2 linked regions of the Lepisosteus oculatus genome follow. The protein of the gene in region 1 purifies or fractionates together with the protein of each later gene. This does not show direct contact. Links are inferred from orthologs where the notes say so. Each region holds a gene or a part of one and is shown on either strand. Other genes may lie near its edges.

The links.
Region 2: the proteins of slc9a6a (region 1) and mblac2 purify together in Homo sapiens (co-immunoprecipitation; 3 studies listed by BioGRID and IntAct, counting the BioPlex papers as one, with this or other methods). This does not show direct contact. The link is inferred for Lepisosteus oculatus from reciprocal best matches to the Homo sapiens genes SLC9A6 and MBLAC2.

What each region holds. Positions count from the first base shown.
Region 1 is NC_090703.1:48,905,266-48,921,205, forward strand, and holds the start of slc9a6a (sodium/hydrogen exchanger 6a), read left to right. Parts: upstream 1-9,272; 5' UTR 9,273-9,321; coding exon 9,322-9,718; intron 9,719-11,264; coding exon 11,265-11,464; intron 11,465-13,575; coding exon 13,576-13,653; intron 13,654-14,083; coding exon 14,084-14,160; intron 14,161-14,410; coding exon 14,411-14,523; intron 14,524-15,054; coding exon 15,055-15,160; intron 15,161-15,940. Other genes in the region: mmgt1 (ER membrane protein complex subunit 5), read right to left, coding at 6,239-6,398, 6,905-7,008, 7,122-7,174, 8,028-8,190. UniProt on the Homo sapiens protein: Endosomal Na(+), K(+)/H(+) antiporter. Mediates the electroneutral exchange of endosomal luminal H(+) for a cytosolic Na(+) or K(+).
Region 2 is NC_090698.1:72,664,607-72,679,546, forward strand, and holds mblac2 (acyl-coenzyme A thioesterase MBLAC2), read right to left. Parts: upstream 7,175-14,940; 5' UTR 6,815-7,174; coding exon 6,373-6,814; intron 6,257-6,372; exon of another isoform or gene 5,534-6,256; intron 3,112-5,533; coding exon 2,726-3,111; 3' UTR 2,615-2,725; downstream 1-2,614. Other genes in the region: polr3g (DNA-directed RNA polymerase III subunit RPC7), read left to right, coding at 11,259-11,378, 12,692-12,821, 13,325-13,381, 14,117-14,173. UniProt on the Homo sapiens protein: Acyl-CoA thioesterases are a group of enzymes that catalyze the hydrolysis of acyl-CoAs to the free fatty acid and coenzyme A (CoASH), providing the potential to regulate intracellular levels of acyl-CoAs, free fatty acids and CoASH.

The sequences.
Region 1 (15,940 bases):
GCAGTACAAAAGTATCTACTACTATAGTTAGAGTGTATTTTTATAAACCCATCATCTTCAATACCTGACTGTAAGATCTGGATATGTCATCCTAATCTCTTTCATCTGTTTTGTTTAATTTCATCAACAGCGCAAAAAACTAATCCGTTACTCTCTCGCTGAAAAGTGTGCACCTTTCAGCGAAAGCACCTTTCTGTGAAACAAGAAGCAGAAATTACAATGAACTCTGGGAATTGTAGTTCACCCACAACCCTTGTGTACCTAAAAACAGGGGAAGGGGGATGAGAGAAATACAATTCCAATAGGTAGTTTTCCAGACCCTGTAGCACTAATTCAAGACTTGCTTCTCTATAATTAACATTAGGTAGCCCAGGATTAGGGTAATCAGGGTCTGTGAAACTCATGGTCAGTGGTCTTTCTGTCTGACCCATAGTTATTCATCCCTTAGCTGTGTTTTGTTTTCCAATTTTTGCATCTTTTTAGTGACCAGAAATCATTTGAACGGATTTTTAGGAGTCACACAAGGAAGAGAGTGAGAGCAGTATGTCTGGCATGCAGTCACAGGGGTTTTGGCAAACGTGTCATATGTGTGTCACATGGTGATCAAGAGCACACATAGTAGGCTTTGGCAGTTACTATATTCCTTTTTGTATTAGGGATTTTTTACTCTTTTTCAAGTTTAAATTATTTCTGTAAAAGAAAATGCTATGCTGTAGTTTCCAATAAACAGTAATGTAGTTAGGGCTTGGCCCAAGTGTATTTAATCTAAGCTATTTTAGCTAGTTATTCTGAAATATATTGGTCAAGCAGAAAGTGTTGCTCAGTACTGTTACTTTTAATACCTTGGACCCAACTGCTTAGAGTTGGGGTCAGTTCTAGTCTTTCTATTCTCATACAGTTTTAAAAAAACATCCTTGCTTTTGCTCGCTTTTAATGTGAAAATACAGCTTTGTGAGACATTTTTAAACAGTTTTATTTTACTTTGAACTAATGTCAATATTTTTACAAACAAAATAAATTACCTTTCCTCTCAAGGAAAATTTCCTGATTCGTCCGGCATTCTTTATGTAATTTTTTTAGAAGAATAAATCTGCACTTGTTTTAATAACCGTTAAAATAACATGCAATAATGAAACAAAAGTCTAATCCAGAGTTGAGAACAAAGACATAAACATTTTGTATGAAGCAGCATTTCGTGTGGGCTGACTCTGCAAAGTGAAAAAGTGACATCAGAAAGTTGATCAAATTACGAGCTCCAGACTTTGGCATTTAATACATTGCTGGCTCTTACCTCTGAAAATGAATCCTTTTTCCTGTGCAGATCCTCTCCAGGATGCACCGAGAACAGGGATATGATCCAGACTGGACTTTTTTATTCCGATTACTCTGTCCAGATGTAATGCCATACTCCAGCCACAATTCCAGATTGATAATAAAGCGTTAATTTAAACTGAAACACTTTTTGTTATGGCTACTAAGCAGTGGAGTTAACGTGGTATGTGTGTACTTACTGTATTCATCCGAAAGCATTCTCCTTTTCTCACAAGAATAACGTTCTTGCTGGGGTTTTAACTGAATGTACTAACTCTGTAGTCATTGAAAACTTCCTTCAGCACGTATGTGTACAATACTATTATCAGATCTTACCAAGCTTAAAGGCATGGCTGTTGCATTGGCACGTTTTTAACAGGTCCACGTGGTTTAGTGCAGAATCCCTGAACCTAGGGCTTAAAGATTTTAATATTTATGATCGAGTTTGTCAGTGGTGCACAGAACAGGACAGTGGGACAGTAAAAAGGTGTCCTGAATTTCATGGGTGTGCCTCCTTCTGGCCAGTATAATCCTTTCTCTCTAAACTTCACAGTCCTGGGCTGAGGCTTGAGATCAGAGCTCTGATCAGCCCCACTTTCTTTCGCTTCCCTGCTATAGTTTGCCCTGTAGTTTCCCCACATTCACCCCTGTCATCTTCGCCTGCCTTAAAACCGGTGAACGTGGCTTTGAAAATGATGAACGCATGTAAACTAAATCAATATCCTGTGAGGAGGCCGACCAGGCTGAATCACTGTTAACATTGGCTACTACCGTTTCTTCCAAGAATAACAGCAGACTCACTGTTGGCGTTGGGATGTAGTCGCAGCACCACAGCCTACTGGGTTCATAACCTGGAACACACATTGTCGTCCTGCCTTTTGCAAAACTAAGTGAAGGGAGCCAGGGTCACAAGTTTGTGTTTCTGGCGTGCTTTGGGGGGAAGGCATAGTTAAAGCCCTGTGGTTGACTGCCATTTACTGAATCAAAGGGTCGACGTTACAGACCTTCAGAGTGGCAGCTCTTTTTCGTAGGAAAATGTGAAGGAACGTGAGGCCCTGATTGCCCCCACGTTTTCTAGCTGCTGTCGGAAAAGGCCCGCTTTGTCACATCGGCCCCACGTTCAGCAGAACCAATTAAGACCACACTGTGCGGCGTCAAGTCAGGCATTCTGAGCAAACGCAAGCTACCGAGCACGTGTTTGGTGCACGTGTGAAAACCCGGCCGGATAAGCGTGAAAGCCGAAATCTGTGTATTCCTCCAAGACCAGTCGTTCAGTTCATCAGTTTTGAGATGCGCACGTAATGCTTAATACTCTTTCCTTTTCTCTTTGGAATCTGGTGGATTGCGATTTTTTTTATTTAAAGCACAAAAACCCCAAATGGTGGGTCTTTAAATTGTTGAACAAGCGGAAGGAATGTGTGGTTAGTTAGGGAGGGTTTTTTTTTTAGTAAAGAGAATTCCACCCAGATCTCGGCACAAAATACACAGCTGTTTGGGTCCATGTAGCAATACCTTAGGGTGCAGCTTGCCTGCATGGCCTGTGCTATCCACCACGTTACTGGGATTGTGACCAGAGCATGTGCACTCTCCCTCCTCGGTCTGTGACTTGAGCTCTTCAGAGGAGCACCTGCAAACACATGTCTTGTGCTTCAGCAGCACCGGAATAAATAAAAAAGAGTTTGTTTTTGAATGAAAGATGTGTATTACTTTTTAATGTTCATACATGGAAAAAAAATAAAGAGATTATTTTTGGACAGTATTCTTACCAGAGCTTAGAGAAGCAAAATATTTTAAAGAAAAAAAAAGTTGTATAAAGATTTTGTAACTGTTATTATATATGAAATGGAAAAGTTATTTTGATTTTTTTAAAAGAAAATAAATATCAGAGAGGTAAGATTGTTTGAGTGTAATTTTATGTTTTTATGTGGTGTGTTTATAAAATGTGTTTGTATTCTTGATGTTTTGGGAAAGAGCTAGTTTTCCCTGTGTACAAAATCCTTCCTTCTGCTGTTATATTCCACAGATTACATTTAATTATTTTTGCATTAGGGTTGAGAAAAATTCATCATTCTAAACTATTAGACGAATTATTTGCGGTTAGTTTAAATGTGATCCAAGTCAACATGCTACTAAGTAAGTTGTCAGTTGTCCGAACACAATATTAAAATGTTAAGTAATCATAGGGAAAATGATATTGCTAATGAAAGACTAATAGAACTCATATGTCATAAAAGATGTTGAGAAAACATATTTAAATCCATCTTCACATTTTATATTCAGGAAATCTAGGGTGTGTGCAAAGGTCTTGGCAATAAAAGGGGATCTATCTCAGGTTTAAGTCCAGAGCTAAATGTATAACAAATATTTAGAAAATACAATGCAAATTAGGTTCTACTTTCGGAAGAAGCTTTTTAAGTTGTGATCCATGTCGAATACAGCTGGAATTAAAGGTTTATGGTGGTGGCTTGTAATCTTTACAGCCAACATACACCTTCTCCTCTTTAAACACTAGCATCTCAAAGCCACATGTAAAGATAAGATAAGATCACTTTATTGGCCATATACAAGTTCTTGTATTAGGAATTTTGCATACCCCAGCTTGCTCTCCATGAGACACACAGACAGGGAGAGAAGCTGGGGGTCAGAGCGCAGGGTCAGACATTTTATACGGCGCCCCTGGAGCAGTTGGGGTTAAGGGTCTTGCTCGGGGGCCCAACGGAGTAGGATTCCTCTGTCGGCCGCAAGATTAGAACCGGCAACCTTCCAGCCACAGGCGCAGATCCTGAGCCACAGAGCCAGCGCACCGCAAGTGACAAGTGACAATCATTCAGATCCCCCCCATCCTAACTTGGAACAAGAGACTTGTCCTCTAATTCAAAGATTTGAACTCAAATCCCAGATATTACCATTGAGAAGACTTTGAAATCAACAAACATGTCTTGATGGCTGCAGAGTAAATCCATTCCAGGCATTCCCAATCCCAATCCCGATCCTGGTACCTACACATCTGCTGGTTTTTGTTGCATGTCAACACCCCATTAAATAATCTTAAAATCTTTAATTTGGACTCCGTCAGTCCCTCAACATGCAGGAGGTTACCTTTTAACCAACGCATTTCTTAAACAACTTAAAATCTCCAATCGTTGAGCAGAAAAGGAAATTACAAAGTGCCCATCCAAGCAAATTGTTTGTTCAATTAAGAATTAAGTACAGAGCTCAGCTGCAATGAAAACCAGCAGATGTGTGAGTTCCCAGGACCAGGACTACAAGAAAAGAAAGCTTTAAAGAGATTGCCTTAACACGTACAGCTTCTACAAAAGGAAGCACCTGCTGAATGGTACTTGGTACTAGAGGTCATGCAGCATTTAAATGACTCCACAACACTAGGGACATGCACTGCTTCATACAGTCAAAACTGGGAACAGCCATATCACCCAGCTCACAACTGGCAGCCCACTGAAGCTCAGCAGGTGTGAGCCTGGTCACTACCTGGATGGGAGACTTGTGGGAAAAACTAAGGCTACTGCTGGAAGAGATATTAGTGGGGCCAATAGGGGCCACTCACCTGCAGTGAAACTGTGCTGTGAGAAGGCGCCATCTTTTGCATGAGACGAAAGATCCTGACTCTCTCTGGCCATTAAAAATCCCAAGGTGTTTCTCGAAAAGAGTAGGGGTGTTACCCCGTTGTCCTGGCCAAATTTCCCAATGGCGTTTACCAATCATGGCCTCCTAATAATCCCCATCTTCATCACTCTCTTCACCTCCTGAGAGCTTGTGTGTGGTGAGTGTACTGGTGCACTCTGGCTGCTACTGCATCATCCAGCTGGTGGTGGAGGAGGAGAGTCCCCATTACCTGTAAAGCTCTATATAAGTGTGAGGAATTATTATTACTACATGTACTGCTTAAATATGTGGCCTTATGAAGATAGCGTGTTACATGATTCATACAGTACAAGACACAAATTGCAACAAATACAGCAATGTTAACCTGTGCAAAGAGTACTGAATTTTGACCTCTATAGTCTAAAAATGACAATCAGAAATTTCACATATTGACTTTATTTGTTTATTAAAAATGTATAGCAGGCTCAGATGAATCTGAAGTTTCAATGGTTCTGCTGAGAATATGGTTGACCACAAGTATAATGATTGGAAGTCATGAATAAAAGCTGGGTTAGGTAACATTCCTTTAGTTTTGAGTCAATAAAAAATGAAAACCGACTACTTTATTTAAAAATTATGCATATTTACATAAAATGAAAAAACGTATCCCCAACACACTGTTTTTCTTACTTTTTACAACTGAAATGAGAAAAAAAACACATTGCTGCAATCTAATTACAATTGCCTTACTTGCCTACTTTCGTTAAGGATTTCCAATAACAGTTTTACATCATAAGACTAACTTCTGCATTCTAAAACCCAGAAGATTAACAATTAAATACCATCTGTGGAAAAACAATCGGGTTTACAGTTTCCATCCAGAAACTTCACACTGCATTTGTTCTGCCGAGTGTGGGGGGAGAAAAAAAAAGAAACACAGTTGCACAGATAAAACATTTCAAAGCTGAAGCTTTGGAAACGACATATTGAGAAGGCAGTGTTATCGGTTGGTGGGAATAATAAAGGGATTCATGTCATATCCCGAATAACCCATTCACTTTACAGCTGGGAAGGAAGGAAGGGATTGAGGTCCTTTTACAACCTTAAGCCACCAGACCTTTATTTACAAGCACGACACCCCTATAGGAGGGCAGCTGGCACCGTCCAATACAACATTTTAACCGCTTGTCGGACTGGGATGTAAAATCGGCACAGCACATGTATCGAGATGTTTCTCTTTTTCTTACGTTTCATTCCCTCCCCCCCCCCCTTCACGTCCATGAGCAGTTTCCATTTTCACATGGCCAGGAGAACACCCAGAGGCTCAGTGGTGTGATGGCTCCAGCTTCCGAAGCCGCAGGGGGTTGGAGGGCAGGGCCTGCTGGCTGGGAAGCGAGGCGTTCTGCTCCGGGGAGCGGAAGAGCACTCTGCCACGATGGTTGAAGAGATAGAAGGAGGGATGGTTCCGCAACGTGTCGAATGTCCTGGGAAAGCAGGCAAGAACAGGGAGATTAATACTGGCTCCTAGGGGCACAGTGGATACAATGAAATACAGCACAATACTGTATTTCAGTGTTTGTATTCATAATTAAGATTAAAAGTGAATTGTGTGCATTCAAACCAGCCTGTATACCTAGCTTGTAGCATAAAAGGGAGCTGACATCAGCAATCATTCTGTGCAGATCAGAATGTTAAACAATAAATGTATCCGTGACTATCCCTTGATTTCAGGCTTCTGCTATGAATATGGCACTGAACAACAGCAATGTGCTTTTTTTCATTTTACATTTTACTGACATAAGCGACTCACAGGCCCCAGGAACCCTTTTAGATTTAGGACTTGTCATTTACATGAATCATATATGTAATCAATACGGTTTCAGAGTTTGTGACGTAAAATAGGTGGAGTTGGGCTAGAGGGGCTGGCTTAGCAGTGCAGTGCATGTAAATTCTATCATCTAGGCCCTTCCTGATGGCGAACAAAACCTACTTGTTCTTGAGCTCCGATGTGGCGTCCATGTCTTTAAACTCCCCAGCAATGTGCACAATGCCATAACAGGTCACTACGAAGGCCAGCAACGTTTGAAGAACTATCTGTAAATGCAGAGGAAACAAAGAACAAGCCTGAGAATGGTTTACATCAGACGATGTAATTGTGTACACAATCCGCAATGCCGGCACGGCGTGTGAGCACATCACACACTTACGTCACCAGGGAGAGTTTCATTCTCCTTCTCCGTCAGTCGCATGTAAGATCGATCTGGAAAACAACGCACATTGAACAATCACAGCCCCAGTGCGCTAACTCTTTGCACAGTGAAATAGGGTGCTGGTACGCGCCTCGGGATACGTTTTGCATCACTTGAGGATCAGAGGTATTGATTACTTTCATTAAGCAAATTTACAGCAGTATCTAGCCAACTATTAACACTAATAGGATATTTCACTATCCCACTGGGCACATCTGATTTCCATGAAACTAAGCAGTTTCAACAAACCGGTTTTGTGCCTTACATCTGCGTATACACACTTTGGTGCTTCTAACTGGTGATGTTATGCATTGGATGAGCTACTCTGCCTTGACTTTTTTACAATAAAAATAAATGACTATTTTGGAAAATTACTCTCGGCACCACGCCACCCAACCAGTGTCGGGCTGTTACTATTATCGATATTCTCTACTGCCAACAGCGATTTGAAGTAACAAAATACAACAGTTTCAAATTCACATTTCTTTACATTAATGTCAACACCAATAGAAGCAGCGCAACGGCTGCGCTGAATATAATTACCGGTAAATACCACATTTACATGATTTCATATTCTAGCAGTAAATAAAAAGCTTTTAAAATCATCACGAGTCCCAGCACACCAAAGTGAAGATGTTAAACTTCAAAATTCAGATGTTTTCCATAAAATATGTTGAGGTACCCTGTAATGTTTGGTGTCATCTAATTTAAAAGGAGAAGGGAGAGCGCTATTCGACGCAGATGGGGCCTGTCTCTCTTTGCTGTTAAATGATGTCCAAAATTAAAAAAAAAAAACAAAGCACTGCCGCAAGAGACCCTCAACATAAACACGTCAGTGAGCTTTTCTAATATGATGTAACTTACGCTGAGCCGCCGAGAAAGCTGCATGCGCTAAAGCGAAAAGTCCGATTCCGACAAGACCTTTCCAAACAGACGAAGCCATCTTCATCCAGGGAGTAACAGGGAGAGAGCTGTCAATGTAGCGCGATAAAATGTCGTAGGCACAGATGGCTGGGCGGAAGTACATGGCGCGTAATGATGACGTCTCGATAGGCGCTTGGGTCCGGACGAATGAGGCTAAAATTATCCTCTGATTGTATTTGTATTTGTAAATTATTTACAAGTTTAATAAAAAATTCTTTTAAAAAAAAAAGAATGAGGCTAAAATTCAATGTAACTCTGATTTCAAAACGTAATATACAATACGGCTTCTCGTGTAAAATGGAAACATTTAATAAAATATAGTTTAGAAACAGGAATCTCACAAAAATAAATTAGAAGCGTCGGGATAATGACAGCATGTAATTAGTGCGAATATTTGATCTATAATATTTGATTTGCAAACCCAACGGGGAAACCTGACTTTTCACTAGATAATTCCAATTCATCAGATTACGCGACAATCCGGTTATATTATCCAAAATACTATATTTTTAGATCGAACCTGACTACCAATAGGATCTAAAATATTCACAAAACTATTAATGCCCCCAAAGTTTACACAACGTGTTTTTGCATATTCCACAATCACGGTCCCATGTAAAAATAATTCAAAATTCTGTACAGTGACGAATTGCTTTAATGTTTTTGTGTGCTGATTTAAACGAGTTGTTGAACAGTTAATAAACGTTTCGGGTCTTCTTCTTTGTTTACTTTTGGGGGGGGGGGGCATTTTCCTTCGAAAACCAAACGCGTAGACAAATAATAGCACGGTCGTGCTATCTGCGCTAAGGTCTTCATTATTCTAAATCTTGTTGCTTCACACGAGGGTTTTTAGTATCGGGGTCGGGAGACACCTGCAACAAAACATTGTTCTTTTACAATGTGAAATATCTACTAATAACTAGCACAATCTGCCCAAGTCCCTTCTGGTGCGCCTGGCGGCCAACACATCCTTACATACTGTATGGCAGAAGCTTACGATCAACAGTTGTTTTATAATTTTATAATTGTTTTATAATTATAATTACAATGGAAAAAATATTCAATTGGTTCTTATTGAGAGGGGCTTACAGAATAAATGGTCGTCCAGTCTGCGGGGGGAAAAAATGTGGAAATTCTCTTATCCAGTTAGTATGATGAGCACAAGTAATTCTCTCTCACTCTCTCACACACATGAAGTTGCGAGTCTGAGCTCCGCTTTGCAGCGCTGGGTCACATGACGAGCTTCCCCGGGCCAGCTGGGAGGAGTGAGGGAGCCGAGCAGGACCAGCCCCGACCCCGGCAGGCGGCGGAGAGACGACAGCACGCATCAGGGGGCGCCGTCAGCACAGCCATGGGCTTCAAAACTCAGCAGCCGGCGGCCGCGGGGGTCTCCGGACGCCTGGCCCTGTCCGTGATGGCGAGCCTGCTGGTTTCCCTCAGCCTGAGCCGGGCCGAAGACGCCGGCATGGAGAACATTGTCACGGAGAAACAGGCAGAGGAGAGCCACAGGCAGGACAGTGCCAACCTGCTGATTTTCATCATGTTGCTCACCCTCACCATCCTGACCATCTGGCTTTTCAAACACCGCCGGTTCAGGTTCTTGCACGAAACTGGGCTGGCTATGATTTACGGTGAGGATCCTTCCCGAGCGACCGAAACTGCGGTGCCGTGATGTCGGATTTATGGGGAACTAGTGAGAACCCGCGTCTCTGTATTGCTGGTAGTAGCAGTCATGTGCGGTACAACTGTGCCCGCTGTTATGTTGTGCCATTTGTAGCGTGTTTACCGACAGGTCAGGGCCTTCTTGTGTGAGTTTAATGTCTCTGGTCCCTGTACGAATGTTGAGCCTGATAACGTTGTTGCTACAGCTACCACTTACTCCTGTTGTACATTTGTATCTGGGGGCTATGCACTGCCAAAATGCGCTCGTTATTTTTTCAGACGCTAACAACATCAGCGCTGTGATTGAGCACAATACGAAGCCAGAACAGTTAATTATAAACCCCTTGCGTAGAAAAGGGGAATTTTCCAGACGGTTGGATGGATGGGGACTGGAAAACTTGGTATTTTATTTTCTATTTACGCAAAGAACCGCACTGGAAGGTTTTCTTCTCGAGTCAAGACGCGATGTTGGGGGATTAAGCAAGGCTGCTAAATGTTTTAGAATTTCCCTGTAACACGTGACGCTTGAAAATAGCGTCACTGTCCGAGGATAAGGTGAGATATGTTCGTTTTTACGCATTAGGATGCTGCTCAGCGCTCATACCCAGCTACCTTCTCAGTTTTCAAGTTGGGTTTCCCATGACCGCCCAGGTTAATCAATTTACTTCCTAAGCAGAAACCAAGCGAAACGCTTTTTTGTGTATTCACTGAGCTGAATACGTGTTGCAAAACTGTTCTAGAGAAGTATTGTCTTTGCACCATCTCCGTGGAGACACAAAAAAGCAATTACTGAAGATCGCCTTGCCGTGTTCAGTTTCGCAGGAGAGTCTGGTTTAGCCTCATTCCGGGCAGCAGTCTTCACAAACCTCTTCCGTGAAGGAGAACTACTGTCTCGTCCTCCGTGCTGAGCAGCTCAAACACCGGGGAAGTTTTGTTTCCGGCAGCGGGCAGAGGAAGGTGGCAGAATGTGTCGGTCCTATTTTTATATTTAGTGGTATGCGCCTTATTTGCTGAGACGGTATCGGTAGTTGAATTAACACATTAATAACTGGTAATCATATTGCCCTTACAAAATGTTAAGAAGGTGTGGCGAAATGGCATGAACTCCGGTGATTAGCGGGTATTTGCATGGTTTAGCAATGGAGCGCTATCAGAGTACAGGGGTTTTGCTTAAGCAACCATGCCTTGGTGAAATGTCTTTTTGCCTGAACAACTTGTGGTCCCTGTGACACCCTAGGCTGAGATGATAGCACTACAATGATTTGACTTTGTAAGCCCTCATATAAGGCCAGGACTAAAGGTTTAGTCACCCTTAAATTGCTTCATAATCAAGTTTAAAAGCCTGTGGTCATTGCTTTATGACTTACCTTGGCCTTAGCTTCTTAAAAGGCTTCTTCTGCCATACTGCCAGGTATGTCAGGTTCCAGACCTTGGAGAAACCTGGGGTGTTTGAGGGGACCCCAGGACGAGGGCAGGGAGATGGGCGGCACCCTGACTGTGTGTCCGTGTCCGCAGGTCTGCTGGTGGGCGTGGTGCTGAGGTACGGGATTCACGTCCCCAGAGACATCAACAACATGACTCTGAGCTGCCATGTCAACGCCAGCCCGGCCACCCTGCTGGTCAACGTGAGCGGGAAGTTCTACGAGTACACGCTGAAGGGCGAGATCAACGCCAACGAGGTCAGCAACGTGCAGGACAATGAGATGCTCCGAAAGGTAAGGTGGACTGCGCCCCGCCCTGTGACCCCTGACCCTTGACCCGCGGCTGGGGGAAGACAAGCCTGCTCTAACCGGCCACACTTCAGGCTCTCTCACCTGCGCTCGCTTCTCTGGGCCTCTTGTGGCATCATCTGTCCTACCTGAGGTCACGCAGAGCTTGGTCCCCAAGCCCATAGCAAATTAAAGTTGCAAAAGGAAAAGGAAAATGTTTCAGGTCCAAATTTAGCTCGGGTACATACCCTGCATGACTTCTCTTGTGTTCCCCTTGATTTTTTTTTAGACAGTTATTACAAGACACTCCCAGCTGCATCCCCTGTTGTTCTGGCGCTAGTTAGAAAGCACGTCTTCAGAAGTATTCAGAAGTTGCAGGCTATGTGCAGGCCCCTCAGGACACCTGGTGAAACTTTGTATACGTCACTGCGTTTCCATCATGAAGTCACCCAGACGGGCCTTCCTTCTGGAAACTCTGTAAGCACTCTGTGGGGTTGCCTTTGACATCGTGTTAAGGCATGTGGATGAGGATTTTTAAGGAAACTCCATAATTTTCCGTTTTTTTGTTAACGCAGATAAACGTGCGCGGATAAAAACGCACCCTGTTGTCGCAAGACTCATTCGTGCCCTTCGAAGAAATCTCTGTCCCGTCTGCCTGTCGTACAGTTAGCTGTGTACAGTGTCAAGGCTTCAGTTAGCACTGACAAGGCGCAAAGTCCTTGAAGAATTAAATACGTTCCTGCCAACTTTACGTGTGTGACATACACCCGACAGAGGAACTCCAGACCTCTGCACAGAGCATTTAGCAGCAGCAGGTGTTCCAGGTTTAAAGACAATGGGTGTTTGTGTGGACACTTGCATGGGGCTCATTCAGTTCAGTTTATTGCCATATGGACAAGTGCAATTAAATCCTCTTTTTATGTGTTGGCATTTGCAATTGTAGGAGATTTTTGCACACAAGTGTGCTTAGTACATTTCAGAATGTTGCACTAATTGTTAAAGTCTAGTGTATGAAATAATTACGTTGTATTCAGATCTCTTTTGTTTATTTAATATGACTTTTACTTCTAATCTAAATGACATTTGCTAGTTCTGCCATGGAAATTTACACAGTTCCCCTCAGTGCTTCTTCCTAATTCACTCTGACTGTAACAATACCTCGGGGGCACAGGTTGAGTGAGTTATGAAATTCAAATGTTGTAACTCCATTATGCAGTAGTGAATGGCTTGTAGTGTGAATCAAACACACTATGTACACTTACACATCCTGGAACGAGCTGGGTGTATCAGGTTTCCCTGCAGCTGCACTGCTGGTGAGAACCGCAAGACCAAGGCCCGGATTAAACACCAGTTTGATCCAACTCGTGAATTCCACCCACCGGGGTCTGTGGAGGTTTTCCTCTGGGTGGACTCGAGAGAAGCCCCCGGCGAATGAAAGACCACCATGGGGTGATGCGTTTGGAGTTTGACGCTGGCGAGAGGGTGGCGTTGTGGTTTGAGTCGTGGAAACGCAGGCTTACTGTCCTTCTTGCTGCTGCTCGAGCAGAGCTGGGTTCTGCTGGGGCACAGCACGTGGACTTCGGGGCGCCCGGTTTCCCCCCCCCAAACTGGTTTCCAGCTGGGGAAGGTTGTCCTCCTGCCTTGATGGGCATCGGGATCGTGCAACATGCATTCCTGCCAAGTGGCACTTTGCATGACGTTCTAGTTACCTCGTTGTAAGGAACAACAAACAGGCTTTCTTGTGGAAGATAATTTACATATCCGCTTGCTGTCGGCCCACCGGCTTCCGTTGAGGCTTGCTATTTGCATTGGCATTAGAAATCACTTTTACGAGCTGTATTGGGTTGTGCCATACCTGAAAAACATCCTGTATTCCTGGCTGGGTTATATTCAAATCTAGTTCTTGTTTCCACTGAAAAAGCCTACGTTTTGCCTGCCCATGTAAAAAAGGTGCAAAATAATTGAAAAATCTCACGCCCTTGTAAAGGTTAAAGGCCTGTTTGTCGCATCAGTTTGATTTTTCTGTGTGGGTTTTTTTTCTTCCCTACATTGTATATGATACCCGGGAGAGTGGATTCCTGTGTCCTTGTGACTCTTTTTTTTTAACTTCTCTCCAGGTGACCTTTGACCCTGAGGTGTTCTTCAACATTCTGCTGCCACCTATAATCTTTCACGCAGGGTACAGTCTGAAAAGGGTGAGTAGGTTTTGAGTCCGCGCAGAAAAGGGCGAGTCGTATCTTTTGGGGAAAGAATGGGGAAAGTCGTTTCGGTCACAAAATTTGCTTTTGCAGTTCCAGTAGGACTTACAGGGCTTCTTTCAGAGGGGAAGTGAAGGACAGTCCTGCATCACAGAGCAGAGGAGAGCGGGGGCCTTCAGGGATGGAACCCAGCGACTCCGCTGTCATCAAACCAAAAGGAAACGGGAACGAACGAAAAAGCAATTGCCAAAACACGACTAGGAGCTATGCGAGATGAGAGTGATGAGATTTGACCCCCCCCAGAAGTTTGTGATTGTATAACTGGAGTGTCCTGCAGATCATATGAGGCTGAAGCAGTAGTTTCTGCTCGTTGCTGTCGGAGAAGTAAAATTAATTCAACCATTTTATCTTCTGTTTTCTGTTTCAGAGACACTTCTTCAGAAACCTGGGGTCTATCCTGGCTTATGCCTTTATTGGGACTGTCATATCCTGTTTTGTCATAGGGTGAGCAGAGATTGAGTAGGCTGTTATGGCCTCTGAAATGTTAAGGTGATGCCTGCTTGCTTTCAGAGATTTTTTTACTGCATTGCTCAAGACCTAGTGTGTGTGTGTGTGTGTGTGTGTGTGTGTGTGTGTGTGTGTCTTCAATATCTGAACTGTGACATGTTTTCTTCTGCTAGGAGAGTTGGGCAGGTCAGTGAGTTTTAATTCCTTCTCTCTTCGGTCTTTTCCTGTTGCCCGCATTCTTTAACAGGATGATAATGTATGGATGTGTGATGCTCATGAAGAAGGTCGGACAGCTGGGAGGAGACTTCTTCTTCACAGACTGTCTCTTTTTCGGGGCCATCGTCTCTGCCACTGACCCAGGTACCCACTTCGCCCCGGGTGGGTCTCCGCTGTCGTGTTGTTTAACGTCTTTCCTGGGTTTGTGATCATCAGGGCAGTGAAACCTTACAGTATACGAAGGGTTGCAACTGAGAAGAAGCCGTTGGAATCATCGCTCTGGTTTGTTTGCGAGTACAAGCAGCCCGGCACGCGGTTAGTTCTCACACCACCCAGTGCAGGCTCGTACCCGAGTCCTCGTGCTCCTGCGCTCCGTCGGGTCTGTGTCAGGAGGCGTGTCGCTGGGCTGGCGCGCCGCGTGCAGTCAGGCTCCGACTGTTGCTAATGCTTTCAGAGAAGCTCTTGGAGAATGCGTTGTTGTGTGTGTGTTACGGCTCTGCCCGACAAACTGCAAACAAGAGGTGGGGGCGTGCAGATCTCCGGTACTGGGAAGAGCGTCGGCGTGATCCGTGGCGGCCAATCGCAGGTCTCTGACGTGGCGGGGTCTGGCGCTGGCAGCAGGGCTTGACCAAGTGTTTCTCTCCCCTCTCCTTCCGGCTGCCCCCCCCTCCACAGTGACCGTGCTGGCCATCTTCCACGAGCTGCAGGTGGACGTGGATCTGTACGCGCTGCTCTTCGGCGAGAGCGTCCTCAACGACGCCGTGGCCATCGTCCTCTCCTCGTGAGTCCGGCGCCCGGGCGGCTGTCTTGTCTGTGCGGCTGGGTACCTGAGGCAGGAGGGGCAGGGGTTGCAAATCGCATCTTCTGTGCCAGCCTTAAGGTTGGGAGCTGCTCCGGGGCACTGCCCTGAAGAGCTGGTAACGGAAGCGGCCTGCCCACCTGATGTTGATAACAGAGTGGGCTAAAGGCTGCTGATGAGTGTGCTTGTGCTGTGGGTCTAAAGAATAACTAACCCCTGACCTGACCGTTGTTTGCTTGCAGAATTCTTATTTATTACGGGAAACGCAGGGCCCGCGAGGGGCTGGGGAAGCAGGCCGCAGCCTCGGCGCTGGAGTGGGGTCAAGGCGTGTCGAACGCACGGGGGATGTCTCCCAATGGGTGCTGCTTCAGAGCAGAGCAGAGGCCACGTAACCCTGGAGTGCCAGGACAACACGGGGAGCAAATTACCAGTGAGCCGTGCTTTGTGCGGCCACAGCTCTGATGGAGTCAGTCGCGACGGCCCCGGGTTCTCGCGAGATCTGGAAATAGGAAGCGCTATAAAAGTTACTCATCCTTCTTGCTAGACCTTGGAAGGAAAAAATGTCCCGGAACAGTCCTAGAAAACGGGGGGGGACTATCGCCTGAATAACTGAGATACACCCCAGGTTTCTGTGTACCGAGATGGGTGGTGAAAGCTGCTCATATTTACACCGATGAGCTAAATCTGCAGTCCTGCAGAATGGTCATGTAAACAGGCGGGGAATGAGGCAGGGATCAGTGGGGTGCACAGCTTGTTGACGAC
Region 2 (14,940 bases), on another chromosome or scaffold:
ATTCCAGCTGGGCTGCTCAGAGCATAGCATGGTTGAGCACTAAGGGCAAAACTGGGCTTATAGCCGGCCTTTGCTTCTTGTCTAAGCCATGAAAGTGTCACCAATTTACTGCTGCTCGTTCATAGCCCTCAAACTACAAAAAACGTCATCCCTGCTACAGCATGTACATCTGTGTTCCTGGAGACTGGTCAGGTGTGTGAACCAGTGTCCTGATACAAGAGAATGGGCAGGTTGCATGGTTTGAGAATCTGTTCCTCAACCTTGCTCAAGACAAGGTAAGAAGCTGTTAGCCCTTAATCCTCAATCATGTTCTATGAAACAAATACACTGAGTTAAAACCACTGCTGTTGTCATTTCCTGTTAATTATATTACACTGTGAACTGATGAATACTAAAGTCATTTTTTTAAAGTGATATGATGATGTTACTAACACTTGTAATGGTCCTCTTTTGAAAATAATACCCCAAAATAGACTGGACAAAACAACAGATTTGCATTACTTTAAAATCTCTTTTTTTTTCCATTTAGAATCTCAGATTATTTTTGTGATGCATTTGGAAAAGCCCACTGTGGGTTTATGGTGCGTCTGTCCACAATAACGAACCCCACCACCACACACGGGGGAGAGTGAGGAAAATTAGGCGGACTCCCCCACCCCACCCTCCATCCAGCTTTATATGATGTCACATACGACACTACTGCCTACTGGAGAATCAGTGTTGATTGGAGGTCGCCTACAGGACTGCATGTCTGTACGAACCCAGAAGGCCACATAGGTCGCCAAGAGCCAAAAGTGCCCTGGCCAAGTAGCCCCACCCTCCCCTTGGTGGTGCTCAGCAGAGCCAGTAGTGTGCCAAAACTCTGTCGGGCTTGAACCCGTGTTCAAAGAGCAGCACCTGCCCTAGGGCAAGAGCCTTTACCAGCTGAACCTCTCAACTGGCCACAATGCATGTAAGTATATTTAGAAGTCCGCATAAAAACTGGCTTTGGTCAAAGCTCAAGAAAGGTATTTTCGTAACACAAAGATGGTGACTCAGAAAGTTAAATTCAGACGATTGTTGAGAGAAGTGTCAGCACAAAAACAAGGTGGCCAGTAAGAATAAATGTGATTTTGCAACTAATGCTCACAAACATGCATGATCTTTGCATGTTACTGAATTCCAGATCTGAAAAAACAAATATTGCAATGCTCAAACTGTCCTCTGCTGTATAATTAAGTGTGTGACAGTGTTCTTGACACATCTCAGAAGCTAAGTGAGCCTGGGCCAGGTCAGTATGGGCATGCCCTCTAAAAGAAAAACAGCTGCTCTAAGAGATGTTAGAAGACCAGTAGGTGGTGCCGATTCCTCTGGACCTGAATTCTCAAACCGGTTCCTCAGTTTGCGGGGACACCGTGCTATAGGAGATGGTGTTTGAATTAAACAATTAAACTGACGTTCAGACTACACAGTCACTACAGATCCCATAGCTCTGCTTGAGAGAAGGAGTCCTTCCTAAACTCCACGCTGCGTTTACACAACATGTCCTCCTTAAGTCAATTCTCTCATTAGTAAAGTACTGTGGGATTCTTTGGAATGGTTAGAAATACTGTTTTAATGTTTTAAAGTCATCTACTAAAAATCAGTGCCTTCTTATGAGAAGAACTAAAAATTCCCTTTAACTAACCTACATTCAAAAACAAGAGGGGTGAAGCTCTACTTTAAGTGGAAAAAGGGCAAAAGTAAGCTCAGGGGTCAGGTGTCCAAGTGTCCAAGTTTACCCCCATCACAGCACAGGACAGGTTTTCTAGCAATTATGACCACCTGCCTTCTCGCGTCATCCAGGGAAACACAAGTTAAGTTGAAGTTAAACACTCAAAATTTGAAACTCAGCATCAAGATTGCACAGAGATACAAAACAGAAAGAATCTGAAAGAATCATTCTTAACTGAATAAAATTGGGTTGGTAAACCACCCTGAATTGCCACTAAGCCAGTCAAAAGCCTACAAGTGCTTTAAAAAAGTCCTTGTCTTTGCTTATGATACTGTGGTATGAGTGGCAGCATGCTGGAGCAGTGGACTGTGCCCTCACTTCACAGCTCCAAGGATCTGGGTTCAAATCTGGCTTTGTGTGAGTGAACAGTCCACCTGTGGGGCCTGTTGTCGTGTTCTCTGAACACTTTCCTCTCCACCCCAGTAAACATGCTGCCCAGGTAAATTATCATCTCTAAACTGCCCCATGTGTATGAACATGAGCCCAGAGGCACACCAGGGTCCTGTCCAGCGTCACGGAGCTCTGGACACACAGCGGCCACGGAGACCAGATGATGGACGCATCAGTGAGATCATTCCATCTTCCACAACAGCAAACCAGCATCAGCCAAAATAAAAACTTGCTTCTCCATGTCTCACGTGAAGACGAAATTCCCAGCAAATGATATGTGCTCCGCCACTCCTCGTTTCATGCTTTGGAAAGCTACAGAAAAAAATGCAAACGTGCTTCAAGTATGTTTCTTTGTACCTCGAGGCTTAAAGCTATACACTCATCCATGTGCAAACCCAAATCATTGCATTTGCAACACGCACACATTTAAGAATCAAAACTAGTGCAATAATTACCATTTCAAAGTCAAAATTAGTGCAACTGCAGTACTGGGCTAAATTTTACGAACACATTTCATCAATTGAGACAGTTAGCATAAACAAAATACTGTAAACGTATAAAGCAGCCGTTTGCCTTTCCCAGTCAACACCCGTGTCTAGAATTGCAGGCACGGAGAACGAGGCTTGCGACGGACTTCAGGGCACACATGGAAAACCGGTGGCACCCTCCCGCGCTGGCGATGTAGCTGGAGGCGATGCGGTACAGCCGCTCGGCCCCAAAGGTGTTGAAGTGGCCAGGCAGCACCTGCTCCACGTGGCCCCCGTCCGCCAGCTCGACCAGCCGCTCGCAGCTGGAGACGTAGTCGCTGACCCTGCTGTACGGCAGCCAGTCGATCATGGAGCCGTCGTACACCACGTCCCCGCTGAAGAGCATCTTGCGGTCCCTGTCGTGCAGGCAGATGCTGCCTCTGGAGTGGCCGGGCATGTGCAGCACCGACAGCTGCCTGTCGCCCAGGTTAATGACGTCTCCTGAGGAAACAGCAAGAGCACCTTCTTCAAGGAGAACTGCAGTCCCACTTTCTCAGACCTCTAGAACAACTCGGAGCCGTGGTAGCGCAGACGGCAAGGGCGTCTAGCTCCTGACCGGAAGGTCCCGGGTTCAATCCCAGGTAGGGTTAAGCGATGTAGCTTGCCCTAATTCCTTCCAGACGGCTCCCAGCTCCGCTCAACCTGCGAGTACCGGGGTTAATCCTTCCGGGGGAAATCGGTCAGCCGGAGCGTGATGCTGACCACATCACCTCCAGTGTCGGATGGTCAAGAAAAATGGTGGCCCTTGCCCCCCTATCCCCAATGGGCCTTTATGGCCTGTAAAAGGACCTACCTACCTGTAACAAACTAAATCAATCGACAGTACAGAAGAAAACTCACAAATTTCAAAGTAAGCACAAAACCGTGCATTCGGAGTCGCCGTGTTGTGGCAGACCCCTGGGAACTTATTCGAGTCCCCAAGAATTGCAACGTGAACCGGCCCTTCCTGCTCACTAGTTCCTGCCCTGACCAATGCAATGCGATGTACGAGCGAATAAGTACAGGTAGCGCAGCCGACATTTCACCGCAGAATTATTCCAGCGTGATCCCCATGCAGAGCTAACAAGCAGTATTTGTCTGCAAAACTGTCTCGAAGTTGAGACAATATTTCTATCGGATGAAAAGAGCTGTATGCACAAGCCGGCTTATTTACAACGTAATGGGGCCACATCATCTCACCACAAGTTTTGTTGCCTCGTTGTGAATGGCAGGACAGGGCACTGCACATACCTGGAAATTTCATGTATTTTGTGATGTCAATTGGAGGTTTTACCAGTTACTGTGTACATCAATGCTGACCCCGAAATATGAAAATAATGTTACAGTCCCCCTTTAATATTACTGGTGGGCTGTGAAACTTCTCACGGACACGCTGGAAGAAAATCCCTGGGAAAGTTTGAGTCATCTCAGGGAAAATGGAGGCTGCTTAAGGCTAGGAACTACGGATGGTTATTCTATGGATAATCAATATCCCTCAGTTTTCCCTATTAGTGTCAATAAAACATGATGTCACTTTTCCTTTCCATCTAAAGCAGGGATATTTTTTCCACATCTCAGGTTCCACAATCTAGTAGAGCAGCCGTAGGCTCTGTCTGTCTTTCTACAGGAGAAGCTATTCCGAGTGGGTCCCAGCCAAGTCACGTATTTCAGATGTGTTAGTTCATTAAGAGAAAAGACTTTTACAGCAACTGCTGCTTTGAAGATGTGCAATACTGATGTCACGGTATCACAGCTGGGCACTTTCCTCATTCACACTCTCTCATGTTGTGAATATAAGGTACAGGAAGAACAGCTTACTATCCACAGTAAAGGATTTCCATTTTACTAGTTGTTATTTTACCAGCTACTTGCATGCAAACTTAATTTTCACTTCCAGTTCATTTTCTTAAAATCCTAATTACTGCCTTCTTGTCCACTTTGATTTCGTTTTTGAGGATTTTTAAACACTGCATGTGAAATTAATGAATTAATGTATTTCTGAAGACAGTATGTGGGTTGCAAGGTAGTAGACATCTCAGATTGAACCCTGCTGAGAGTATTTTCAAAGTGTCCAAGTCTTTCACTAGTTTTCTGCTTATAATAGAAGGGCAGAATGGTCAAGGCATGAGAGACTGACCTCAAGTCTAACGTCTGAATATGTGTAAAGGTTAGTGCATTCTTTCGTGTATCTCCCAAAAGCTTTATAAAAATGCCACTTCTATACAAACCCATGGTCACATTGCAAACTGTACTGGTTTTGACAATGACTCTCGTCATTTTGTACGTTTCCCGTTGTAAGTGAAATAAACTCATGTAGGCTCCCCATATACCAGAAATAATTTCTGATATATATCAGAAATATCAGCGCTTGCAGATTTGTCTCTTTCAGCAGGAACGTCGGTGTCCTGCAGCTGGGTGTGAGAAGAGCTGTGCCGAATCGTACTGTGCCAACAGTGGGATCACTGAAGTATCAGTGAGAGGACAGAACAAAAGCGCTGCTGTGAAGGTCATGTGCGAAAATATCAGGCCAGAGTCTCCCAGGTCCAGTTACTCTGTTACCGGAACTGGCTGAAATCGATCCACAGCGGCCCGACATCGCCTGTCCCGGTCTGCCCGGACGAGGGACGCCACAGAACTTGCGCAGTCCCGCCGGGACACCCCCCAAAACACCCCACTGCCACGGCGCGATCACCTGTTCACTGCGCAATAACCAGCTCCTGGTTAGGAATAATAAAGGCAGACGTGCAGTTATTCCAGTAGTATCTCCCCGTAACCCCAGAGATATAGTTCTCTCAGAGAGTCTAGGATATTTAATTGGGAACGTGTTTTTTTCTGCACCGCCGTGCTTTGACAAACTTTTGGGCTACAGTGTTGCGCGGAACCAGCAGCAGAGCGAAGAGGCCGTTTCAACCCCCCGAGCGCTGCTAGTTGGAGATACAGTATTATTCCCTCTCTGGTGTCTTCAGGGGGGTGGAAGATTGTGACTATAGTGCAGGCAGTCTGTCATCCTTCTTGTAACGAATCAAGGAGGCGGATGAATCTGTAGAGATGCAGTTCATCGGATTTGGGACCGATTACGCTCCTTAACGCAATTTTCTCATTGCTCGTCTAGAATAGCAGTGTGTGGTACAGGAGTACTTCGACCCGGTACCAATGCTTTTATTTGCTTCATTGGCTATGAGCCCTAAACGTCCAAATCAATCGGAAAGGCACAGATCGCATAAATACACCGAGCGCAAGATTGTGTTCTGGATATCTTTTCCGTTTACAAAAAATACCCCCAAGCAACAACGTTAATGAAATAGTTTATTAGAGATATAACGCCGCACGTCTGTGGAAACCTATGTTTAGTTTTTGATAATACTCAAGCTCGTCTTCTCGATGCGACACCGGAAAAACGAGAGCGCAGCCTGCGCCCTCCCCCACCTTCCTCGCCGTATGGCGTCTTTAAAGCTCACTCCGTCGGGCCGAGAGACGCTGAACGTACCTCCAGCAGGGCGACAGATTAGCCCTGCTAATGCGAGACGGCCTCTGTGTAACTCTGCTGTTAATTAAGCAGATGCCACGGGTATTTTTCGCCACTTGTTGAAAACCGGTGTCCGGAACGGTAAGGCATTAGTTTACCTTATCATAACGCGCAATATGACCACGCACCGCACCGTCGCCGTCCCTTTCACGCACAAGCGGCTCTGGTGCATGCCTATATGTGCTAGAGATATTCACCTTCTTGCAGTACGCGAGTGGGTCGCACAGCCTGCACTCTGAACTCGCTGGCCCGCCAGCCGGGTGTCGGAGCCCGGGCGATCTCGCCGTCCGACAGCCAGGTCACCATCTCAAAGTTATCCCCCGTGGCGAGCGCGTCGGCCTCGGCTCTGTGAACCCCCACCTGGCGAAACTGGTGCAGCCCGCCCGAGTGGTCAAAGTGGACGTGGGTCCCGATCGCCAGCGGGGGGTTCTTCCGGCCGGACTCCTCGCCCAGCAGCCCCTTGGCGCGCAGGTAGTCCGGCAGGCTCCTGAGGCCCAGGCCGGCGTCGATCACCACGTCCTGGTGCGACCCGCGGACCAGCCAGATGTTCGCTCTGTTGCCCGACTCGTAGAACCTCTCCTGGATCCAAAACACGCCGTCGCCCAGGCACTTGTGAGCGTACCACTCCGTCGCAGACATCCCGACACCCGCCTCCCACCCACGCGTAATAAAATAAAGACACCGAGCTGTCAGGGACGTGGAGCCCCGAATCCAGACTCGGTCCGGTCCGGTGAGGAGGCGCAATGCAAACCAGGGTTGGCTTGTGCAGAACAGGAGGAGACCGCGACAGGCGCTCAGCCTGCAGGGAGAAAAAGCAGCTGAGTGGATAAACAAGGTCCGAGGGGCTCGTGATTGGCTCGGACCTGCGACTGCGCCCCTCCGACACGCTCCGGCCACACCCGGCGGCTTAAAGGCGCAGCCCTCTCCTGCTCGGTGCGGACTGCTGTCCCTGAACCAAAACCAGCCGGGATCCCGCCTCCTCGGTGTTGGCTTTGCGGAGGTTTCCTACTTTCAGGACCTCTGAAGCGCCTGACAGACGGGAATATAGTTGCGCTTTTGTTTCTAGTCGGTGTGAACGAGAAGCCCGATAATATCATTCTTTCCAGAAGACATGTAGTAGTAATACACAGCATATAATGGCATATGACCGATAAGGAGAATATATGTCCTGTAGTCAGAGGGCAATGAAAATGAAATGTTAATAAATTGAGTTATAGTGAAGACCCGCTCATTTCCTATCAAAGACCCTGTAAAAGCTGCTGATTGTATTTGAAAGGGAGGTGGGTCGCTCCAGAATACCGAATATAACGTAGAAAAAACAGGCTTCTGAGCTCCACGACACATTGTGAACCTGCTAAAAATATTATTATTATTATTATTATTATTATTATTATTATTATTATTATTATTATTACGGGGCCATGCTTAAAAACAATATTAAATTATGTTGCAGATGCATTGTATGGTTTCGCAATGTTTTAAGGCTATTTTCTTCACGTTCTTTAAACGCGTGGTTTATTATCTGAAGTGTTTATGTCACGCCGGTGTTTTTTTCCCCTTAGTTTCAAGTAGATTTCTAGGTGAAAAATGTTTTACCGTATTAATTATGACTAATTCGTTAGTTTTAGTTCACTAATCTGGGTAGGTTTTCATACAGAGAAGTGTTTATCACCCGTCTCCGAATTAACAAAAGTTAATCTCTTTAAATTCTGCCGAGCAAGGGAAACGCAGTACTAAGGAATCTCTTCACAAGGCACCTGTGGCCTCTCAGCTATGTGTTTCAATACACTGGCAAAATCTGACTTTTTTCATCCTCAGACTGGTAAAGTAACGTGCTAATTGCCCTTACTATGAATACAACTTACCTATGGGGCGTTTACGTGACACCCTGGTATTCACACTCTGTATACTGATTTAGGTCTACCGTTTTATTTCTTTGCCTGACTCCAGCATTGCTTGTCCAGCTTCTGCTACTGTAGCTGCACTGCCATGGTATTACATTTATTTACCTGCCCCGAGAGGCTATACGAAAGGATCCGTTTTAATCTTGAACAGAGAAACGTTCAAAGCAGGAGGCTATTCGACCCACCTAGTATTGAGAACTTGATTCCAGTATTCACAATTCCCCGATGCACTGACAAAGACGGGGACCATTGATCAAAATCAACAGCAAAACACCAGTGCAAATTAAGTGCGTCTATGGGAGGGGGATTTAAATCTAATTACAGGGGGGAATATTTACAGAAAGGGCTGTGGGGTCTGGAATAAGCCGCCCAGTCATGTTGCCAGAGCCGACAACCTGACTTCCTTCGCGAAAAGGGTGGACCTTTGTATCAATTACTTACGAGCAACCGAGCTTGTCATCAGAAAGGCCGAGTCGCCTCCTCCAGGCTGTAACCCGTCTTATTTTCTTACCTGCATGCTCCAGCACGAGTGCTCTCTGCACGTACACTTAAAAAATAAATTAGATGTATAGTTTAGGGCGTCGGGTAAATTATGCATTTGTTCATGATGACGAACGGCTCACTCCCGGGAAAGTCGCGGCAGACTGGAGCCATCCCGGCAGTTAAAGGACTCCGAGTGGCCATACAGTATATCCATCGTGCACCGGCGCACACAGACACTCGAGGACAACTGGGAGACGCAAATTAACCCTATCAGCATGTCCGCGGAAGGTGAGAGGAGGTCAGGTCCCCGGTGCAAACTCCACGCCAGACCAACAGCTGTCAGACAGCAGCGCCAGCTGCGAGAGCACTACCCTACCCTACTCCCTCGTACCAGTTTTTTGTGATCACAAGTAAAGAAAAAAAAAAGTCCGACTTTGATTTTAAATTTAAAAAATCATTTATAATCTTTGTGTGGTGCCGGGTCGCGTTCTCCACTGTAGCGCTTTCATGCTCGTGTTCGGTGAGCTACCACGCTACACTTCGCTGACGGGGCTGGAAATGTCCCAGGATTGTAGGAGCAGGTATCGATCGCTGTTTCAGAAGGCGTGCTGAGCCTGACTGGCAACTGGCTTCTCAGACCTCCTTTGAAAATGAATGAAGAATAACCGCTGCTGGCGAGCGGAAAAGACTAAATATCCCAATAATTACTTTGGTAGGTAGCGCCGCAGATCAGTGTTTTTACTCATTACGGTTAATGTCAGCTTTCATAGTATTTTGAATTAAATGCTTTTAATTTAACTGAACAGTTACGTACATGTTTGACTATTCGTACTGTATACGCCCATATCACAAAAAAAAATCATTGTTCATTAAATGAGAAGATTTCTAAGTCAGCCTCCACTCCACTTTGAAGATCGATTTTCTGGAATTTTCACGAAATGCTTTTGCTGTTATGAATATTATGAAAGGCTATTTTTTTAAGCGTAAATTTGGTTAAATTAACGAGCGCAGTCTGTCACTGCTGATAAACAGTTTAAGGATCTTACACCTGCTAACTGGAATTTAGGCACACCACACCTCTTGTAGCAATCTCTGTACAATCTGAGTTTGCGGCATATCAGTGATCTGAGCAATATTTCTCTTATATTAGTTGTAAACATACTGTATACCGTAGCCTGGACAGTGAAACAAACATTGATCTAATCTTAGAGGACACATTTTCAGCAGAAACAGCTTTCGCAGGTACTAGTTTTCCTTAAGTGCTCATATTAATTGGTTATTCCTAAAATGTGTCTATATTAAAGATCATGGTGGTCTCTATAATATGCTGAATCATGGTGTTATGTGAATTTGTGAGCTTTATGATCAGAGAAGGACCACTTTAAAATGTTACTTTGCATTTAGTTTAGTCAGATTAAAAGTGCTAGTAACTTTTTTGACGTTTTTTATAGACATAACTGTGAAACATAACTGTATGAAATGTAGTAGGAATTAAAGGGTATACAGGTTGTGGTTTATTTGGGTCATATTTTAGGCTTGCTCTGCTATATGAAATGAAAACTTAGATGTTAGCCTGTTGGCCATGGTCTGTTAAAATTTCATGATCGGGTTGGTCAGGACTTGTGGTGAAGTTTCTGTTCCAGGATCACCATGGGCCTCAGCATTCACCTTTAGAGACTTTTTGCAGTGAAACATTAAAGTATAACAAATAATATTGTAGTAAAGGTTTAGACATACAGTATAACATTAAGCATATCACCGTTTTTTTACATTTATCAGAAAAGCAGTGGGTCAAATGGAAAATCAAAATGACAGCTGAATTTGACTTGTTCTACAAGTTTCTGATTGGCTGCTGCATTTTTCTTACTTCCCTGTTACTGAGAAAGGGATCCTACATATCTTTCACATTTCAACCGTCTTTTTACAAATGGATATCGTTGAGGACTAATTCTATAGCTGTGTATCTCCATCGTACACATTTCACTGATTGAAACACTTGGTCTGTCTGGATTCAGCCATGTTGTAGCGATTTGCTTCGTGGCTGCAGCTTCAAGGGTTATTCTTGGTTGAACTGCACAGCCTTCCTTCTAACACAGAATCGTTGGGGTACAACCCAAGACCACACTGGGACACCAATAGCCGTCAGGAGTGACGGGTTTACGTCGGTCTTCCATGGGGCTCAGCTGGTTGAGATGCTTGCCCGTGCGCAGGCTGGGTTCTGTGATCACGGGTTCAAGCCTGGGTCGTGCAATAAGCTGCCTGAAACTTGAATTTCCTAAGCAGCAGCGTTGCGTTGGCCGTGATCAGTGTGGGCTTGTCTCTCAGGGCCCTCTGGTTTGCTGATAGAACTGCGTGCAGAGACGCACCTTTTCTCCGTCCAGCACTGACCCCCCCCTGCAGGGGGTAGTTTGTCTTTCAGAAACCCTGCCGTAACCGCAGGCCTGCAGAACGCCTGCAGTGGGAGGCTGTGTCAGTGTGGTGTTGTCTGCCAGGGAGGCAGGAGAGCTTCCGTCCACGCTGAAAAGCAGAACGAAGCGGCCGAGCCACCCTCAGTGCTCAGTGCTCCTCATCCAGTACAAGGACAGAGTTCGACACTCCGTGGGGGGAGAGGAAAATTGGGCAACTGGGCATGACGCCGGTATGTTCACGGGCGGAGACTCGTCCCAGCTAAGCGGCGCCTCTGTTGCAGGGTGAAGATGGCGGGAAGAGGCCGTGGACGGGGTCTGGCCGCCTTAACTTTCAATATCGAAGCCCTCGGCCTCACCCGAGGGGAAGCGCTACCAGAGACCTCGTTCAGGCCGAAGCCCCTGTTCCCGGTGAGTAGCACGTCCTGGAACCCGGGGCTGCGCTTCTCTCGAAAAACCTCGAGCGGTGAGCAGCATGTGCTTAGAGGAGCAGGTTATCATGGCCATGAACTGTGCTAACACATGCAAAAACCACCAGGCAAGACTGTGTCTGCTCTCCGTCAACACTTAACATGTGCAGTACTGAACACAGGGGGAATTACAAACGAGAGGCCATTTAGGCCATCTAACCTCTGTGGGTGCTAGGAGTGAATTGTTTGAGGATCTCATTCAGCAGTTTCTTGATAGAAGCCAGGATATCAATTTCAACAACATGGCTGGGTAGCGTGTTCCATACTCCTACAACCCTTTGGGTAAAGAGGTGTGTTCTTTTCTCAGATCTAATATCACTTCCCACTTGTGTCCTTAGATTAGTGTTTCGCTGTTGATTCAGAGGAAGCACATTAAGTTGACTCTGTCAGTGCCCTAGGGGATTTTGAATACTTGATTCAGGTCCCTTCTCATCTAATTAGTAATAATTAGTAATTATTATTGACATAAATGAGGAAGTGCAGTGGTCTTAATTCAGATCCATGTGGTACTAATATTGCTAATGAAATCAAATTAGAATTGACCTCTTACCTGTATCTTGTGGGTTATCGTCATATTGCGTGGTGAAGCGCTGTCCAATCAGTATGGAAACATTTTCTTCTACGCAATGTTTATGAAAACTCCAGATTTCATTCTAATGCTGCTGTGTTTAGTTACAGAGAAACTAAAGAAGAGCGAGCCAGTGGCATGCATGCCCAGGCCACGCTAACAGCCATCAAACCGGTCTTGTCACAGTCTCAAATGTAAATGACTTTATGTTCCCCATGGGATACTGGATGCATGTAGAACAGACTGCTGCAGCTCCAGCTTCAAGCCGAAGGGCTGATGATTGCACAGTTTCAACAGAAGCCATCAAGCTCTGTTTTACTTAAGTTCATTTGAGAATATACTCTTCTTCCCTCCGGACTCATGTTTGGAAGATGTCAAGGCTAATTTGGGGCATCCTTCTGCTTCCCTCGGCTTTGCTCCTGAATAATGCTGGGAGGTCATCAAAGCTGTAGGCATAGCTTACTGTGCAGTTTAGAGTGGTGCACCACCTCAGGCATGTGAAGTGTCCGATTACCATCTTGCGCAACAGAAACATCAGTCAGATAAAAGTACGTCAGTGAACATTGGTGTCTCTTCTTGGCACATGTGGTTTTGTGGAAGGGGATGCCGGTGACAAGGTCCGGATTTATTTTTTTTGCCCGTTGTGACCTTGACGGAAAATCCATTGAAACCGTTGCTGGTGACAGGATGTGGACTTCAAGCCAGTGCCCTTGAAAATGGGAGAAGACCAAGATTATATGCTGGCCCTGAAACAGGAGATGAGGGCTGCAGTGAAACTCCTGCCTTACAACATACCTTTGCCAGCTGAAAAGAAAGGTGAGAGAGAGGAGCTTCACTGAACAGAATGCACTTTTCACATCCTTCAGGTTTCTAATGCTTGTGATTGAAGATTTAACAATTGGAATAAAAAAAAATATGGTATATAAGAATCTGGTGCAAAACTTGAGACCTTTATAATAACTGTACTATAGGGAAAGAATGGAATGTACTATTACATTTGCCTTTAGAACAGATGTTCAGTTACTTTTATAGCCTCAAATTACTATACCCCTCCCCATTCACAAAACAAAAATCACATTAAATTGGACGCTAACATGCTTTCTGCACTTACTTAATGAGGTTAATCCATCCTCTTTTGTGGAAATGGGCCAGAGTATAATGAAATAAGGGAAAAGACATACAATGTACAGCGAGGAAGACCATCACAATGGCCCCTCTCTAATGTGTTTTGAAAAGTATTACACTTAACCTGAAGCACTTCCTGCAGTGCATGAAAAGGAGATCGACAAGAAATGCAGCACTGTTTTGTTTCGGTTTAGATGTGGAAAAATACACAAAGGAAAGAAACAGAGAAGGGGACAACACCTGGAAACCAGGTATGTGTGTGGACAAGTGGACTGCTGTGTGGAGCTCTGTCATTTGATTAAGTCTATCAGTCTCTCTGAATCTCAAAGCCAATTTAGCAACAGAGTTGTTGTTATTACAGAAAATGCACATTTTAGTTGAATGAATATTTTTGATGAGCTTTTAAATCTCTTAAACTTTCAAGTTGGTGCAGTTTAGCTGATGCTCAGCTCTTGGGTCAGAGTTTTACATTTCTGTAATCTCCTAAAGCCTACTCTGATCCTGTCATGGTGTTCTGCACTGAGCTGGATTATCTTTCTGGGCAATTTAAAGAGATTTAAAGAGGGAGTGTTTCATAGTTTTTGTTCAGCTGTGACAGGAGGCTGATTCCCATGTGGGTGACATAAGGGGGTTTTTAGAGGTTGATTCTGGGGAATTACCTGGGACGAATCTAATTCCTCTTGAGCGGCATTTGAGACTGTTACTATGATGGTATTTTTAGTTCCAAAAAAGGGAAGATTATGTCTGCTCTGACTTTTAAATTGACCTCTTCCATTAGCTGTTATTTACAGCCCTTTACTGCAACACCTTCCACCTTTTCTGCATTTATTTTCCTTTTATTTATTTTTTTGCTATTTTACAAGCCAGAACAAATCCTGAAGGAAAAAAGCCACTGGAGTGGTCCATTAGGAGGACTAGCAGAAAAACATGAACCTCCTGCATGCGGTTTTAGGTTACTGAAGAGTCTTGCTGGTTTGAATTTGCAGACTGGCGACGCCTTCCGAAAGAACTAATGCCACAGAGGAAGAAGCAAACAAAACCCAGTAAGTAAAGAGGGAGCTGGGAACGACTATTATTTTTTGAAAAGCTAAATTTAGGACAGGAAGTTAGTTTTGCTTTTTTTCCTCACCCCACACGTGAAACCGTCAGCTGCTTTTCAACCATCCAGCTCAAGTTTCTGAAAAGGCAGTGCAGTCAGTGTCATGTCGGCACACAGTGTTAGTTCAAGGTTACGACACTGTTTGGTATACCGCGTTACGGCACAAAGGAGTCTTGACAGCTCACAGGCTCTCTGTTACAGTTCTGTGAAATGCATAACAAATGGCAGATGTGTCCGTACAGTCTTCGCCTATTTTGTGATATAAGACACAGATCCCTGTCTTGTTTGGTCCACGCCTTGGTTTCACTCTTATACTTGTGCTAAACTGGCAACAGAAGGCATAAAACACACCCTGTTAAAATTGTAGTCCTAGCTTGTGGTCAATGGGATCCATCAGTTTAGAGCTCTGCATCCCTGGACCTGCAAATCTTATAGGAACATCAAGTAGTCAGTGAGGAGAGACCTGGAAAAGATGTTGCAATTTCTACTAATTGAAGGAAATAATTGGGTCCAATTAAGTTGGTTCTAGCTCATCTGGAATATAAACCAGAAGTCCAGGAACAGAGCTTCAGTCCTCTAACTGAATGTACTGTATAGTGCCTCGATGTCCTCCTTCCCCACCACAAACTCTCTGGCTCCCGAGTCGCCAGGAGAGTTCGGCCAGTCTAGCCTGTTCACTGTGGACGTCTGATAATAATGGCAATGGGATCC